Callithrix jacchus: one gene and its partners. The protein of the gene in region 1 purifies or fractionates together with the protein of each later gene. This does not show direct contact. Links are inferred from orthologs where the notes say so. Each region holds a gene or a part of one and is shown in the gene's direction. Other genes may lie near its edges.

Evidence for each region. Proteins that work in one complex are often made in the same cells at the same time.
Region 2: the proteins of STK11 (region 1) and PIP4K2A purify together in Homo sapiens (affinity purification with mass spectrometry; 3 studies listed by BioGRID and IntAct, counting the BioPlex papers as one, with this or other methods). This does not show direct contact. The link is inferred for Callithrix jacchus from reciprocal best matches to the Homo sapiens genes STK11 and PIP4K2A.
Region 3: the proteins of STK11 (region 1) and FKBP5 purify together in Homo sapiens (affinity purification with mass spectrometry; 8 studies listed by BioGRID and IntAct, counting the BioPlex papers as one, with this or other methods). This does not show direct contact. The link is inferred for Callithrix jacchus from reciprocal best matches to the Homo sapiens genes STK11 and FKBP5.

The regions. Positions count from the first base shown.
Region 1 is NC_133523.1:1,148,195-1,152,315, forward strand, and holds part of STK11 (serine/threonine-protein kinase STK11), read left to right. Parts: intron 1-197; coding exon 198-330; intron 331-402; coding exon 403-539; intron 540-1,003; coding exon 1,004-1,131; intron 1,132-1,666; coding exon 1,667-1,724; intron 1,725-2,650; coding exon 2,651-2,838; intron 2,839-3,231; exon of another isoform or gene 3,232-4,121. UniProt on the Homo sapiens protein: Tumor suppressor serine/threonine-protein kinase that controls the activity of AMP-activated protein kinase (AMPK) family members, thereby playing a role in various processes such as cell metabolism, cell polarity, apoptosis and DNA damage response.
Region 2 is NC_133508.1:23,217,094-23,221,900, reverse strand, and holds the start of PIP4K2A (phosphatidylinositol 5-phosphate 4-kinase type-2 alpha), read left to right. Parts: upstream 1-1,526; 5' UTR 1,527-1,797; coding exon 1,798-1,941; exon of another isoform or gene 1,942-2,268; intron 2,269-2,850; exon of another isoform or gene 2,851-3,081; intron 3,082-4,807. UniProt on the Homo sapiens protein: Catalyzes the phosphorylation of phosphatidylinositol 5-phosphate (PtdIns5P) on the fourth hydroxyl of the myo-inositol ring, to form phosphatidylinositol 4,5-bisphosphate (PtdIns(4,5)P2). Has both ATP- and GTP-dependent kinase activities.
Region 3 is NC_133505.1:44,021,665-44,026,549, reverse strand, and holds the start of FKBP5 (peptidyl-prolyl cis-trans isomerase FKBP5), read left to right. Parts: upstream 1-1,604; 5' UTR 1,605-1,874; intron 1,875-4,885. UniProt on the Homo sapiens protein: Immunophilin protein with PPIase and co-chaperone activities. Component of unligated steroid receptors heterocomplexes through interaction with heat-shock protein 90 (HSP90).

The DNA.
Region 1 (4,121 bases):
TGACAAGGGTGGTCACTGCCAGTGCGGGCGAGGCTCCCTGCTGGACCCAACCTTTCCGCTGTCCGGTGTGCCTGGACCCTGTGACTCCCCAGCTGTGCCTGTGGTGTTTGGGAGGCTCCCAGGTGGCTGCAGAGGAGAGCCTGTGATGGGCGGGGTGGCCTCGGCCCTGAGACAGGTGTGTGCTGTGCTGCCCGCAGGTACTTCTGCCAGCTGATCGACGGCCTGGAGTACCTGCACAGCCAGGGCATCGTGCACAAAGACATCAAGCCGGGGAACCTACTGCTGACCACCGGCGGCACCCTCAAGATCTCCGACCTGGGCGTAGCTGAGGTAGGCACGCGCTGGGGGGCCCTGGGGCGCCCCGTCCCGGCACTCTCTGAGGGCTGCGCGGCATCTCCACAGGCACTGCACCCGTTTGCGGCAGATGACACCTGCCGGACAAGCCAGGGCTCCCCAGCGTTCCAGCCCCCCGAGATTGCCAACGGCCTGGACACCTTCTCAGGCTTCAAGGTGGACATCTGGTCAGCTGGGGTCACCCTGTAAGTGCCCCGGCTGTCCCAGCACTCACCATACACACAGCTTGGAGGGGCCTCTGTGTCTTGGGTAGGCACAGGGCATGGCCATCAGCCCAGTCCCTTGCTGGCCACAGCCGCTGGGGGGTGCTTACCTGAGGTGTGACTCCCAGAGCACATGGTATTTCACCGTGGGAGGTGCGGCCTGGCATGTCGGGTGTCTTCACAGTGGCACAGCCCACCCTCACTCCCAGAGCCCCACAGGGAAGCCAGGTGGGTGAGATTGGCTCCAAGCCCCTACCCCAGGTGGGTCCAGAGGACACCCCCCTCCTGCCCCGCGGCCTCTGCTAGTGGGAGGGGGTGACGACAGAGGTGTCCCTGAGCTCGCACGGCCTGCGCTCCAGCGGCCACACGAGGGCTGCAGAGCTGGGACTCCCAGGGCATCGACCACCGTGGCTGACCACGCCCCCTTCCTTCTCCTTGAAATGAAGCTACAACATCACCACGGGCCTGTACCCCTTCGAGGGGGACAACATCTATAAGCTGTTCGAGAACATTGGGAAGGGGAGCTACGCGATCCCAGGCGACTGTGGCCCCCCGCTCTCCGACCTGCTGAAAGGTGGGAGCCTCATCCCTGTGCCCACAGCCCCTCCACAGGGAGGAGGGGGTTTTGTGCAGAAATGCAGGCTGGGGGTGTCAGGTGGGTGGCTGCTGGCCCTAGGGACCCTAGCAGGGCATTGAGAGGACTGACTGGAGAGGGCGGCCTCCCCAAAGGTCCTCCCCGGCCCTCCCCGCCGCCGCCATTACTCAACTCCACCCTTTCTTCTGGGCCTTGTGTTCCCCCTTTGTACTCCCACCCTTGAAGGTAGCGCTGCCCTGCTCTTCCCCCCCCCCGCCCGGGCCTCTGAGCTCCCTGGCCTGCAGGGTCTGCCAGGCTCACGCTGCTGCACATCTGCGAGTGGCAGCAGGTGGCACTGGTCGCCCATCCACCATGCAGTGATGTCCCCTGGAGTGGCCTCTGTCAGGGAGGCCGCCCTTGGGAGCATCCAGGCGTCACCCAGGGCTTGACAGCAGAGGCTGGGCAGGTGGGGAAGGTTGGTGGGGTCTCAGTCCTGTGCCTGGCGCTGCCCGGCTCCTCACCTGCCTCTCCTCAGGGATGCTTGAGTATGAGCCGGCCAAGAGGTTCTCCATACGGCAGATCCGGCAGCACAGGTGAGTGGGGCCAAGGCCACAGGGAAGCCGGCCATGGGGGCAGCTGCTTGAGTGGGGGCCGGAGCAGGGGGCGTGGTGGGGGATGTGGTGGGAGTGCCGGTCTGGGTCTAGGGCAGGATCACGTACAGTGCTCACAATTCTCGGGGCCTGAGGGGGGTCTCTGGGCAGCGCCCCCTTGCTGGCCAGACAGGCTTTGTCTGTGCTGGGGTCTGAGTGAGGTCATGTGTCCATCCCTGCTCCAGGCCTGGCATTGGGCCAGGAAAGGCACGGCTGGCCCGGGCACTTGGAGGGTCTTCCTTTTCCTTCCTCACTGGGATCCAGCCCAGGGCCCCCAGCTCCACCACAGGGAAGACAAGGCAGTGGGTGGGGTCAGCAGGCCCTGCAGTGCCACCTCCCTCACCTCCTGGGCCAGCCCCTGGGCGGGGGGTCCTTGAACCTTCTGCTAAAGCCCTCAGAGTTCCTCAGCTGTCCAACAAGGCCTGAGTGGGAGTGTTTGGACCCCTGAGGCGCTGGTGCTGATTGTGCCTGGGGCATCTTTGGGCAGCTTGGGGCAGCTGGGAGCCTGGTGGGGGCTGGGGCTGCCCTCCGATAGCCTCCTGGGCTGGATGTGCACGTGGCCTCCCTTCTGGCCTTTGCTGACCTGCATCTGGGGGGTGCCCTGGCTTCTGAATGCCACCTGGGAGACAGATCTGAGGCTGAAACGGGGCATGGGGGTCAGGCCTTGGGGTGGAGGAGACGTGTCAGGTTTGGAGTGAGGTCAGAGCTGTAGGGCCCTGGCAGCCTGGCTGCTCCAGGAGGGCATAGCTGAGCTGCTGTGGTCACGGCCACCCCTCGCATTGCCTGGTCCCAGCTCCGAGGAGCGGGGTTGGGCAGCTGGACTGCCCTGTGCCGGCCTGATAGGTGCCACTGCTTCTGGGCATTTGCAGCTGGTTCCGGAAGAAACACCCACCAGCTGAAGCACCGGTGCCCATCCCGCCAAGCCCGGACACCAAGGACCGGTGGCGCAGCATGACTGTGGTGCCCTACCTGGAAGACCTGCACGGTGCCGACGAGGACGAGGACCTCTTCGATATCGAGGACGACATCATCTACACTCAGGACCTCACGGTGCCCGGTGAGTCCCGCTGGAGCAGGGCGCCTGCCTGTCTGTGGTGAGGGCAGCTTCTGCCCTCTGGTGGCCAATCCATGTCCCCAAAGCCTCCAGCCCACCTGCAGGCCGCCTCCGCCCTGGGCTGCTGTGACATGGCTGAAAGTGTGGGGGTGGCAGGGGCACCGGCCAAGGCCTATCTGGCCGGGAGGGTTCCTCAGGCTCCTCCCCTGGTGCTGCCCAGCCAGGCACCGCCCATCGGCCTCGGCCTGAGTTCCAGCAGGAGCAGGCGGGGGAGGCCTGTGGTCGGGGGAGGGTGGGTCAGAGTCAGGGTGCAGGGTGGCCCCTCAGCTGGCACAAGAGAGGGTCCAGTGGCCCTCCCTCCCGCTGGGCCTGACGCTGGCCACCCTTCTTCCCCAGGTGGCGAGGAGGCGCCTGAGGCAGGGCTTAGAGCGGAGTGCGGCTTGCAGAAGAGCGAGGGCTCAGACCTTTCAGGAGAGGATACCTCGAGGCCGGCGCTGCAGTCGTGCCCGAGGAGGAGCTCAGGGCCTTAGCACGGGCGGCTGCACTGGCAGCCGGCCCCTCCCTGCCAGGCTCCCGGCTCAGCTCTGTGCTGTGCAGGGCTGGGCTGGATCATAAAGCGCTTTGCATGTATCTGCAGGTGGATGTTGCTGTGCCTGGGCTGGAGTGTGGGGGGCTTTATCTTTTACTATTGCAGCAGGAAGTGGTGGGCAGGGTCCGGCCTGAGAAGGCGAGTGTGCCAGGAAGGTTAGGATGTGAGGACCCAGTGCACAGGAGCTCACTCACCTCCTTCAGTGAGCCCCGGTGTCTGCCTTCCCACGTAGAGATCCTTACCCTGCAGAGAGCCCATTAGGTCCTACAGCATCCCGGGGCCCCTCAGCAAACCCCTAGGCTCAGCTCAGGAGCTACTCCTGGGAGGGCGAAGTGTGCAGGGGGGCCTGGGAGGGCACAGCGTGTAGGGGCCCCGGCGGCACAGGATTTTGCCTCCTGGGCTCTTGTAGCTCCAGTACCACGGTTGCTGTGTCTGTTGGGATGGGAGGTGCTGCTGGGCACCCTGGTCACCTGATGTCCTGGGAGGTGGGGTCCCCTCATGATGCCCATCCATGGGCCTGGGTGCAATTTGACCTTTCAGAGCACTGGGGCCCTGAGACTGGCAGTCAGGTGATGCCGGGCAGGACCCGGCTGCCAGAACCCCACTGGGACGTGGGCCACATGCTGACCCTGTGGCCGCTCCTGCAGGCCAGGACCCAGCACTAGCTCCCCCCCACCTCCCCGGGGAGACTTAGGCC
Region 2 (4,807 bases), on another chromosome or scaffold:
TTGCAAACGCTTATTTCTTGATTTAACGCAGCACCACAGTAACCATTACTCACTGATTCACCAGAAATTTGGCAACGCATTATCTTGCTTTTATCAATCTTTAAAAAATGTAGGTGAGCCGGGTGCAGTGGCTGGCGTCTGTATTCTCAGCACTTTGAAAGGCTGAGGTGGGCAGATCCCTTGAGCAGGGGAGTTCAAGACTAGCCTGGGCAGCATGGTAAAACCCTATCTCTACCAAATAGAACTTGGTCAGGTTCATGCCTGTAGTCTCAACTACTGGGGAGGCTGAGGTGGAAGAATCACCTGAGCCCGAGGAAGTAGAGCCTGCAGCGGACTGTGATTGCACCACTGCACCGGCAGCCTGGGAGACAAAGCGATATACCCTATCTCAAGGGGGAAAAAAATTAAAAAGGCGGCATAGCTTACATTTATTTCAATGTTTAATATTAGAAGTGTTTTGAGTCTTTACTTTGAAGTTTGATGATGTTTTTGTGACCAGATATAATTGCTGTAGGAACTTAATTCTTTTTTTAAATGTTAGCTTATGACGAATTTGGTTTTGTGATATGTTGTTTTGCTTAAGGCGATAGTTTCCAAGAACCTGTTCAGTGAGGACTGGTGGGCTGGGTCAGAGTAAATACATTGTACAGAATGAAGACTGCCGGGATGACATGGGGGCAGCAGGGTTTTAGACATACTTGGAATGGCAGCTTCCTGAAGTAAGCCAGGTATTCTCATCATAATAAAGGGCTACATTTAGGTGTATCTGGAGGAAGACAGTGAACAGATTTCCATGGAAGAAGGTGAATGCGCTGGAAAACAGGCAGGGATGGCAAGGACCATGGTGATGGATTCCAAGTAGAAGATGCACTTTGGGGCATGATTCTCCTGGTTAAGCCAAGGGCTCTAGATGAGGATCCCAGGGTCCTGCCCCGGGCACGGAGTGGGTCCACACTATTAGGTGGGAGTCTCCCTCTTGAATGACTCCAGGAGGCCCATATCGAGGGTGTGAAAGGCCCCATGGTGAACGGCACAAAGGTATTAAGTTCATCTCAGGGACTGACCAGAAACGTGCCCAGGTCCTTCCCCTCGGTGCTGGGAAGCCCTGGTCTCCCTGCAGCATTTCGCACCTCGCTGGGTCTCCCGACTCGCGGAGTGGGCGAGCACAGGTCCCTGAGCTTCCCTCCTTCGCCTGATCGACGCCTAGGGACTCCTCTCCCCAACCTCCCCGCTCTGCCCACCCTGTCCCCTCTCCTCGGGGAGCCGCAGGGGACGCCAGGCCGGGTCCCCAGGCTCTCCGCGCGCACCCCGCGGCCTCTTCCGCGGGCCGGGAGCGAACGTCCCGAGCTCGCCCGGGCACAGGGGACTGCCCGGCCGCAGCGAAGCCGGGGCGGGAGGGCTCAGCCTAACGGTCCGGTGGCCGCGCCCCGCGCCCAGCGCCCGGCGCCCCGCCCGCGGCGCAGCGGTCGCCTCCCGCCCTCCCGCCCCCTGCGTCATGACGCCGGCGCCCAACGCGGAAGCCGCTCGCGGTGCGCCGGGTCCAGCCGCGGGCTGAGCGCGGAGCCGCGGCGGGCGCGGGATCCGGGCCGGGGCGCGAGCCGAGCGCAGCCTGCCGGGCCGAGCGGGCGGAGCGAGCCGAGCGGGGCCGAGCGCGCCAGCGGCGGCGGCAGGCGGAGCGGAGCACGGCGCGCCGGGGCCGCCACCGGGGGGATGCGGCTACCTTCCCGGGCCGGGGTGTAGAGAGGGCGGGTCCCCGGCCTCGGGAGCGCGGCGGTGGAGGGGACTGAGGAGGAGGCCATGGCGACCCCCGGCAACCTAGGGTCCTCGGTCCTGGCGAGCAAAACCAAGACCAAGAAGAAGCACTTCGTAGCGCAGAAAGTGAAGCTGTTTCGGGCCAGCGACCCGCTGCTCAGCGTCCTGATGTGGGGGGTAAACCACTCGGTAAGGGCTCGGCTGCGGCGCGCGGTCCCCTTCCTCCTCTTCTTCCTCCTCGCTCCCCTCCTCCTCCGGCTGCAGCGGCTGCGGGGCGGGGAGCCCCAGCCTGCCCTGGCCCTCCGGCTGCTCGCCCGCCTCGGAGCCCCTGGCCCCGCGGCGCGCGCCCCTAAGCCCTCCGGGCCGCCCGGGCACCATTTGCGCCGGATTTAGACCTAGAGCCGCCTGCGGGACTGGGGTCCCGTGTGCATGTGAGTCTCACGGCTGGTGCTGGTGCCCGTGCCGCCCCCCGTTCGCCCGCCTGCCCACGGGTCTGTCCCCGCAGCCTGGAAAGTGGTAAGTTTGTGCGGGGCACGGCACCGCTTCGGCTGTCAGCCCCGGCGGGGGCTGCTGGGGGCCGAGTCTCGGCGACCGCTGCCCAATGTGGGGGCGGCGTGGCGCCCGCGTCCTCCGCCGGCTGGCGGGTGTACCTGTCCCGGGCTGGGCGCGGACGAGCCTCCCACGGGGGCACTGGGGCGAGGATACTGGAGAGCGAGCAGATTTGGGGCAGCAGCTTTACTGCTTAGGTCCTTTCCTTTTCCTTTAAAGGCAATATTATTGGGCATAATTCGGCTTTTTGGCAAAGCAGCAGCAGATGTAAATATGGCTCTGGCGTCGGGCGACATCCCTGCGCCTCTCCCGCATCGCCCTGCCGCTGTGCGGGGTGGAGAGCCCTTGGCGGGGAGTCTTCCTCCCCTCGTCGCCTACCCCCACTTTGGGGAGCCGGGCAGAAGTCACCGACTGCGGAAGGGTGGCCGGGGTGGAGACGGCAGGCAGGGGTCCCGGCGGGCGCGGGCGGAGGGGGTCCCGAGTTGGCCGCACCCGCTGTGGTGGGGGGACGGGAAATGCTGGAGGAGAACGCGTGGAAAGGTTAGCGTCACTCACAGTCGGGGGTTGGAGGATGCGCTGCTGCGGGCTATGCGGACTGCGGTTCGAGGGTCTGAAATAGCCTCCTGCTGATCTGACAGCGAGAAACTCCTGCAGTTTTAATCCAGTTAGATAGGATCTGGAAACATGATCGGAGCTGTTGGCTCAGCCAGGAAAGTTTAAATGAGCCTGTGAATTTTGACCATGACCTTAGCCACTGCAGTCACTTAGCATCTGGGAAAAGTAAGTCCGCTTCCCCTGCTTTTGATTTCGGTGACTGTCTGTATGTCCTTTTCAGCGTAATGGAAATGACAGAAAACCTTGTTGGTTTTTTTTTAAAAAAGAACACACTTTCAACGTAGTGAGGTTGTTTAAAATGCCTCAAAAGCATCGTTTTTTCTTCCCCAAGTCGAGCAGGGGGAAGGGCGAAACAGTATCAGGATCGATCGTGTTTGCATGGAGTGTTTTTGAAAAAGTTGAGAAATGATTATTTTTATCCAGCTTAATGACTGATTGAAGTTTATTTTAACTTCCCGACAACTTCTTTAGCTGTTTGGGAGTGCAGGTTCTTAGAAGAGCATGCATTACGGCACCAAAAACTCCTCTCCCAAGTTTTATTACAGAAAATGAAACGCTGTTTTTCCTATGTGATAAGTTTACAATGCAGTTACATATAATTTTGGTAAGCTCTTTTATTATTTGTGTTATTAGTTTTTGGTCCCTTATTACTAGAATAGAAACTTACTAATTTTTTTTAAAAAAGGACGAATACTGTAGTGCTTACTCATTTATGGTGCCTTTATCTCCTTTGGAGTTCTGGTGTTTTGGTATGGAGAGTGTTTCTGTCTCGGGGTTTAATTTAGTAAGATAGTGTCAACAATATGCTGCCTAAAAAGAGTGTGCTTTCTGGGAACTCGTCTGAATTCCGGTTTGCCTTAGAAAATCTTGTAATCCTTCATGTTTTATTGTAACCACTTACGTTGCCACCTTATAGTGATGAATTGCTACATTTGTTTTAGAGTTTCTTGCTAAATGGAAATATTTTGAAACTACTTGTTTCATAGTGTATGACTTGTAAATAGTATATTTGGGGTTACTTTCTTTTGCTCTGAAGAAAAGTTTGCAGTTTTAAGTATCCACAACCAGAGGAGTGGAGTTTCCATTTCATGTATATCAATGTGAGCATGTTATTCATTCAACAGATACATTGGGTACATACAGTGTAATCTACTTTGGGAAGGATTGCTAAAACACCTGTAATATTTTTGTCCAAATATCTTTATTTTGAGGACTCTGAGTTGACATAAGAAAGGTCTCTTTCGCAGCCTTGTTTTTCAAAATGTCCATTTACTATGTTATTTTTGAAAAAAGAATGGATGTGTAATATAAACATGAAATCTAAACACTTAGATGCCATGTATTTCTGGTTTGATTTCATTTTAGGTGACAATGTCTGATATTAGATAAATGTTTTATATGACCTTCTGTGCACCAAAGTTTTTAGTATAATCGGGTAATAAATGCGTCAACAGTCTGAACATGGTGTTGTTTATGAGCCCCTTCCACATACTGTGGTAAAACGCTCATTGGATCGGCGCTTTAAATCTTTCTTAAAGTCTAATTGTTGACCTTGGGCATGTTAAGGTCAGGTTTTTGCATCAGTGTTCGCACCTGTGAACTAGGGCTGTTCGGATGATTTCCAGGTTTTCTAACTCAAGATTCTACTGTATTTTCAGTCTACGAGGTGCACAGTGTGCACCTCGTATAAAGGATTCGTGGAATACTTTATAATACAAGTTGTCTTACTGTTATAGCCTTCCAAATGCAGCAACATTCAGGGAATTTTCAAGACCTTGGCTAGATGGAAAGGAAATCTATGGTGATTTTAAGAGACTGTGAACTAAGAGTTTGTTATATTGAATGTAGCTGAACTGCATTGCAGTCTATTAAGCCAAAGTCGATTTGATTG
Region 3 (4,885 bases), on another chromosome or scaffold:
ATTTCAGATCACGATATGTACAAAGAAGAAAATGAAACAGGGATGCAATTGAGTGTGATGGGGGTCTGTTGGGTAGTCAGGGAAGGCTGCTCGGAGGAAGGTTATGTTTGAGCTAAGACCTGGAGGACGAGAATAAACCAGTCACGTGAACATCTGGAAGCTGAGGGTTTCAGGCACAGGAAACAGCACAGCACATGCAAAGGCCTCAAGGCATGAAGGAGCTTTGTGTTTTCTAGGTTTAGAAAAAAGGCTGGGTTCAAATACACTACTCTCCAGTAATCCTCGGCAAGGATTATTGTACCCATTTTTTAGAGATGGAAATTGAGACTTGTCAGGATGGTTAGTTTCTTGGTCAAAATCACAACTGGGAGTACAAATTTTGAATGTAAAGCCACTATTTTGGGGTTATTTTGGTGTTTGTATGTATATATACGTGTGTTTTTTTAAACAAAATCATCAAGTTCAGCAACCATGTGTCCTAAATTATCTAGGATGGTCAAATTTCTTTTTACTTTTTTTTTGAGACCAAGTCTCGCTCTGTCACCGAGGCCGGAGTGCAATGGTGCGATCTCAGCTCACTGCTTCCTCCTACGCCTCCTGGGTTTAAGCGATTCTCCTGTCACAGCCTCCCGAGTAGTTGGGATTACAGGCACCTACCACCACGCCCAGCTAATTTTTGTATTTTTAGTAGGGACAGGGTTTTGCCATGTTAGTCAAGCTGGTCTCCAACTCCTGACCTCAGGGGAATCTGCCCACCTCAGCCTCCCAAAGTGCTGGGATTACAGGCATGAGCCACCGTGCCTGGCCCAGATATCAAATTTCTAAAATTCTTTTTTTTTTTTTTTTCTGTTTTTGATAGAGTCTTGCTCTGTTGCCCAGGCTAGAGTACAGTGGCATGATTTCGGCTCACTGCAACCTCCACCTTCTGGGTTCAAGCAATTTTCCTGCCTCAGCCTCCCAAGTAGCTGAGAGTACAGGTGCCTGCCACCACACCTGGCTAATTTTTGTATTTTTAGTAGAGACAGGGTTTCAACATGTTGGCTATGCTGGTCTCGAACTCCTGACCTCAGGTGATCCACCCGCCTCGGCCTCCCAAAGTGCTGGGATTACAGGAAGGAGCCAGCATGCCTGGCCCTAAAATTCTTATTGTCTCCTGGACAGTCATCTTGGACATGCTCTGTGTTCTATATCATGACTTCAAGCCTTGTCTTTGTCAGGTACTGCCAGTGAGATCCTAGACTAGCACTTCACCACTTTAAGCCTCAGTTTCCTCCTTTATAAATAGGGAGGAATTGTAATCATTCCACTATCACAGGTTTGCTGGGAGGATTAAATGAGAACATCCACATCAGAGTCAGCACAGTGCCTGGAACGGGGTACCTGTGAAATGAATGGTGATTCTTCTTTATTGTTACCTTGGAAAATGGAGGCCAACTGCAGGATGATCCTGGCTCCAAGGAGCCGGGGACCCAAGACAAGCATACAGAAAGAGAGACCAACAATTGGAGGCCTCTGATGCATAAGACAGGCAGGGGAGTGGTGGGAGGAGAGAGCAAGACTGAGCAGCCAGGAGGGCCTCTTCCCTTCCCTTTACTCAGCCTCTCACTCCTCTGCTAGGATCCCATATTGACACATCTTGTACTTCCCGTTTCCAGGGAAATTCCTCGCTGCCGGACTGCACCCACCCCTGAGGACCTCCCAATATCTTTGGGCAGAGCAGAAGCCAGACAGAGACAAGGACTACCAAGCAACCATCTCCAGCCCCGTGTGTGCAAGGAGCCCTGAGGGGCAGGCGGCCACGCTGCAGAAGACTAGCCTCTCCAACCCCAGGGAGCCTGGCGTGGGCTGCAGGAACAGAACGCTTCTCAGAGGAGGTAGGGACCCCATGGAGTACGTGACGTGACGCCTGGCCCTCCAGCTGCATGCTCCAGTTAGCAGGACAGAGACCCCTCCCCACACATTCCCAGCCTTCCCTGGTTTCCTGCTCTGCTACTGGGAGGCCCTGTCACCACACATGCGCGTGCATGCGCTAACACATACACCCCTCCCAGGCACCCCCGGAAGACCAGCTGCAGCTGGGGGTGGGGGGGGGTGCACTGAGCACAGCCAGGGTTCTCAGATCCCTAGCCTGCTCTCCCACCCCACCCTAGCCCCCAATTGCCGAGCTGCTTCTAGGTTTAAAGCAAAACACGACTCTGTCCTTCCTGCTGCTCAGTGGCAGCAACACTGCCTGGAGTTATTTTTAGCAGGGATGCAGGGAAGGCACAGTTCTCCTTGACTTTAACTAGGGACAACCCCCACCCCCCAGCCAAGACTCACTGGAGGAGGCCAGTACGGAAACTCCCCTCCCAGAAAGGGGAAATGGTGTGTTTTCTGTTCCTTCAATTCACTAGAATGGGAATCGTGGTCAAGCCTGGTGTTGAACTGATGGGAAATTCTAGGTTCCAAAGCCCATGGGCTCTGCCCCATCCTTGGCCTCTATGTTTCCATGAATCCGGGAAGCGAGAGGCACATGGTGTCTGGAGTTGAGGTGCCCTGTCTGTGGGTGCTGGGGTCCCTGGGAAACTGCTTGGTTATATCCAAGCTCTGTGGATTACACAGGGGCACCAGGTATCGTGGGTGGTGTTTCACAGGCGCTGGCTAAATAATTCATTAAACTGAACATGTATGTTTCATGTACTTTTCCATATGTGTATCTTTTAGATGCTAGCAGTACTTTATGAGGTATAATCAACATACATTCCACATACAGTAAAATGCATAAATCTTAAGTGTACAGCTTGATGAATTTTGACAAATATATATGCCTATGTAACCATCACCTAGATCAAGATTTCAGACATTTTCACTACCTCCAAATGCCTTTGTGTCCCCTTCCAGTCAGTCTCCGCCCCAGAGGCAACTGATTCCGACTTCTACCACCATAGATCGTGTGTGTGTTTCACAAAGTTAAAGAAATACAGCTGCTGTCACGGAAGAGGGAAATGAGCAATAAAGTTCTTAACATGAAAGGAGGGGGCCTCAAAAAAAGGGGTTATTGCAACTGGAAAAATGAAGGTATCATTGGCCTGGGAAACAGGAGGTTTCAGAGCCAGCCCAACCCCTCAGGGTTGGGACCAGAAGGCTTGGGACACTTCTTGAAGCAGAGAAGCTGTGAGTGGGGAGGGAGCAAGGGGAGGGCCAGTCTTGGCTCAGGCCTAGCTGCCTCTGGGTCTGCTAGAGGTCCCTGCCCCTCCTCCAGGCCCTGACCACTGCACAGTTTCAGCAAGGCCAAGGCTGCAAGGAAAGGTTCTCTCAGGGGCATCCACCCAGAGGCAGAGTTTAGGGCCCCCATGTAGTTAAGTTATTTGTTTTCCTTGACTTCCTTTTCAAGGTCTGGGACTCCTGCATCCTTTGTCCTGCCTGGGGCGGGGAGAGGCTGAGGCTGTCAAAGCAGAGTGCTAAGGAAGAGTCATGATGCTTTTCATTCTTTCCTTCCTTTCTTCATTCAAAAACAGTTATTTGAGCACCCGTGTAGTGCTATAGATTCTGCCGGGTGCTGGGCATAGGAGAATAAGCCACATTTTAGCTTAGAGAGTCAGAGTTGGCATTTCTAGGTAGAAGCAAGGCCTTATACCTCCTTCATATTGGAGATGAGGGGCCCAGAGAGGGGAAGTGACTTATTAGAATCACACAGCTAGCTGCTGGCAGAGGAAGGCCAAGAACAAGGATCGATCCCTGATTGAGACTTAGCTGGGGATAAGAAAGCAAAGGAAACCAAACCAACAGCTGACTCCCTGGTGTGCTCTCCTGTAAGCTTTCTAGGGTAACAAAAAGCACTGACCTGGAGTGAGAGGACCTCAAGGCTACTGCTAGGTCTTAGAAACACTTCCTCTCTCTGGGCCTCAGCTTTATTCCATGAACATGCAGGAGGCAGCTTCTGGAGCACACCCTCCATTTTCCCGCCTCTGTGCCTTTGCTCGGGTTGTTTCTGCCGCCTAGAATGCCCCCTTTCCCCTCCTACTTCCTTCCTCTGACATTCTCCTAATCATTTATGACCTAATTCAAATGCTGTCCCCAGAGGCCCCGCAGTCCTTGGGCATCTGGAGAGTGGTGTCACCCAGGTCCCCACTACCAGAACAGACAGAGCCTCCTCCATTTTGCAATCCTCCCATCCTAGGGCACAGCTTTCCTTGGATATGGGGTCTGTTTTGTCAGCCACTGTTGGAGGAATTGAAGGGATTTCTTAGTCCCACCCTACACTTCCACATGCCCCCTTAGCTTTCAGAGACTGATGTCGTCCTTCCACTGGGCCTTGAAGACATTGTGCTTTCTGCTGGCCATGCCAGCCCAGGCCAGAGCATCAAACCTGGGCACTTCTGGCCAAGGTGGCTGCCCTGGGAGGTGACCCCAGGAAGGATGAGAAGGCGGGGCCTCAGCCAGAAGCATGGCTGCCCCACCTCAGTCATCCAGTCATCATTCACAAACACCCCGGCAGAAATCCTCCCTCACAACAGACACGTGGCTCCTGCTCCCACAACCATATCCAAACCCACTCCTACCTACCTGCCCACAGCAGCAAGTTTGCAAAGATGTACCCCACTGCTCCCACAGCTCCCCTGCCCCTCCCCTGGGTGGGCATTGCCATGAGTGCACATTCATCTCACATACACACAGGGCACACACAGACATGCGTAATGGGCAACACAGATGTGGACACATGAGGGCATACACACAGATGCATACATGCACATGAGCACACGTGCACACAGAGCACACACAGAGACATGAATGCATGGCACACAGGCACACACACTCACATGCTTCCTCGTGACGGGGGGCTCCTCTCCACCCTCAGATCATACGCCTGCAGCTGAGGACTCTGCAGGGGAAGTGCAGGCTCAGT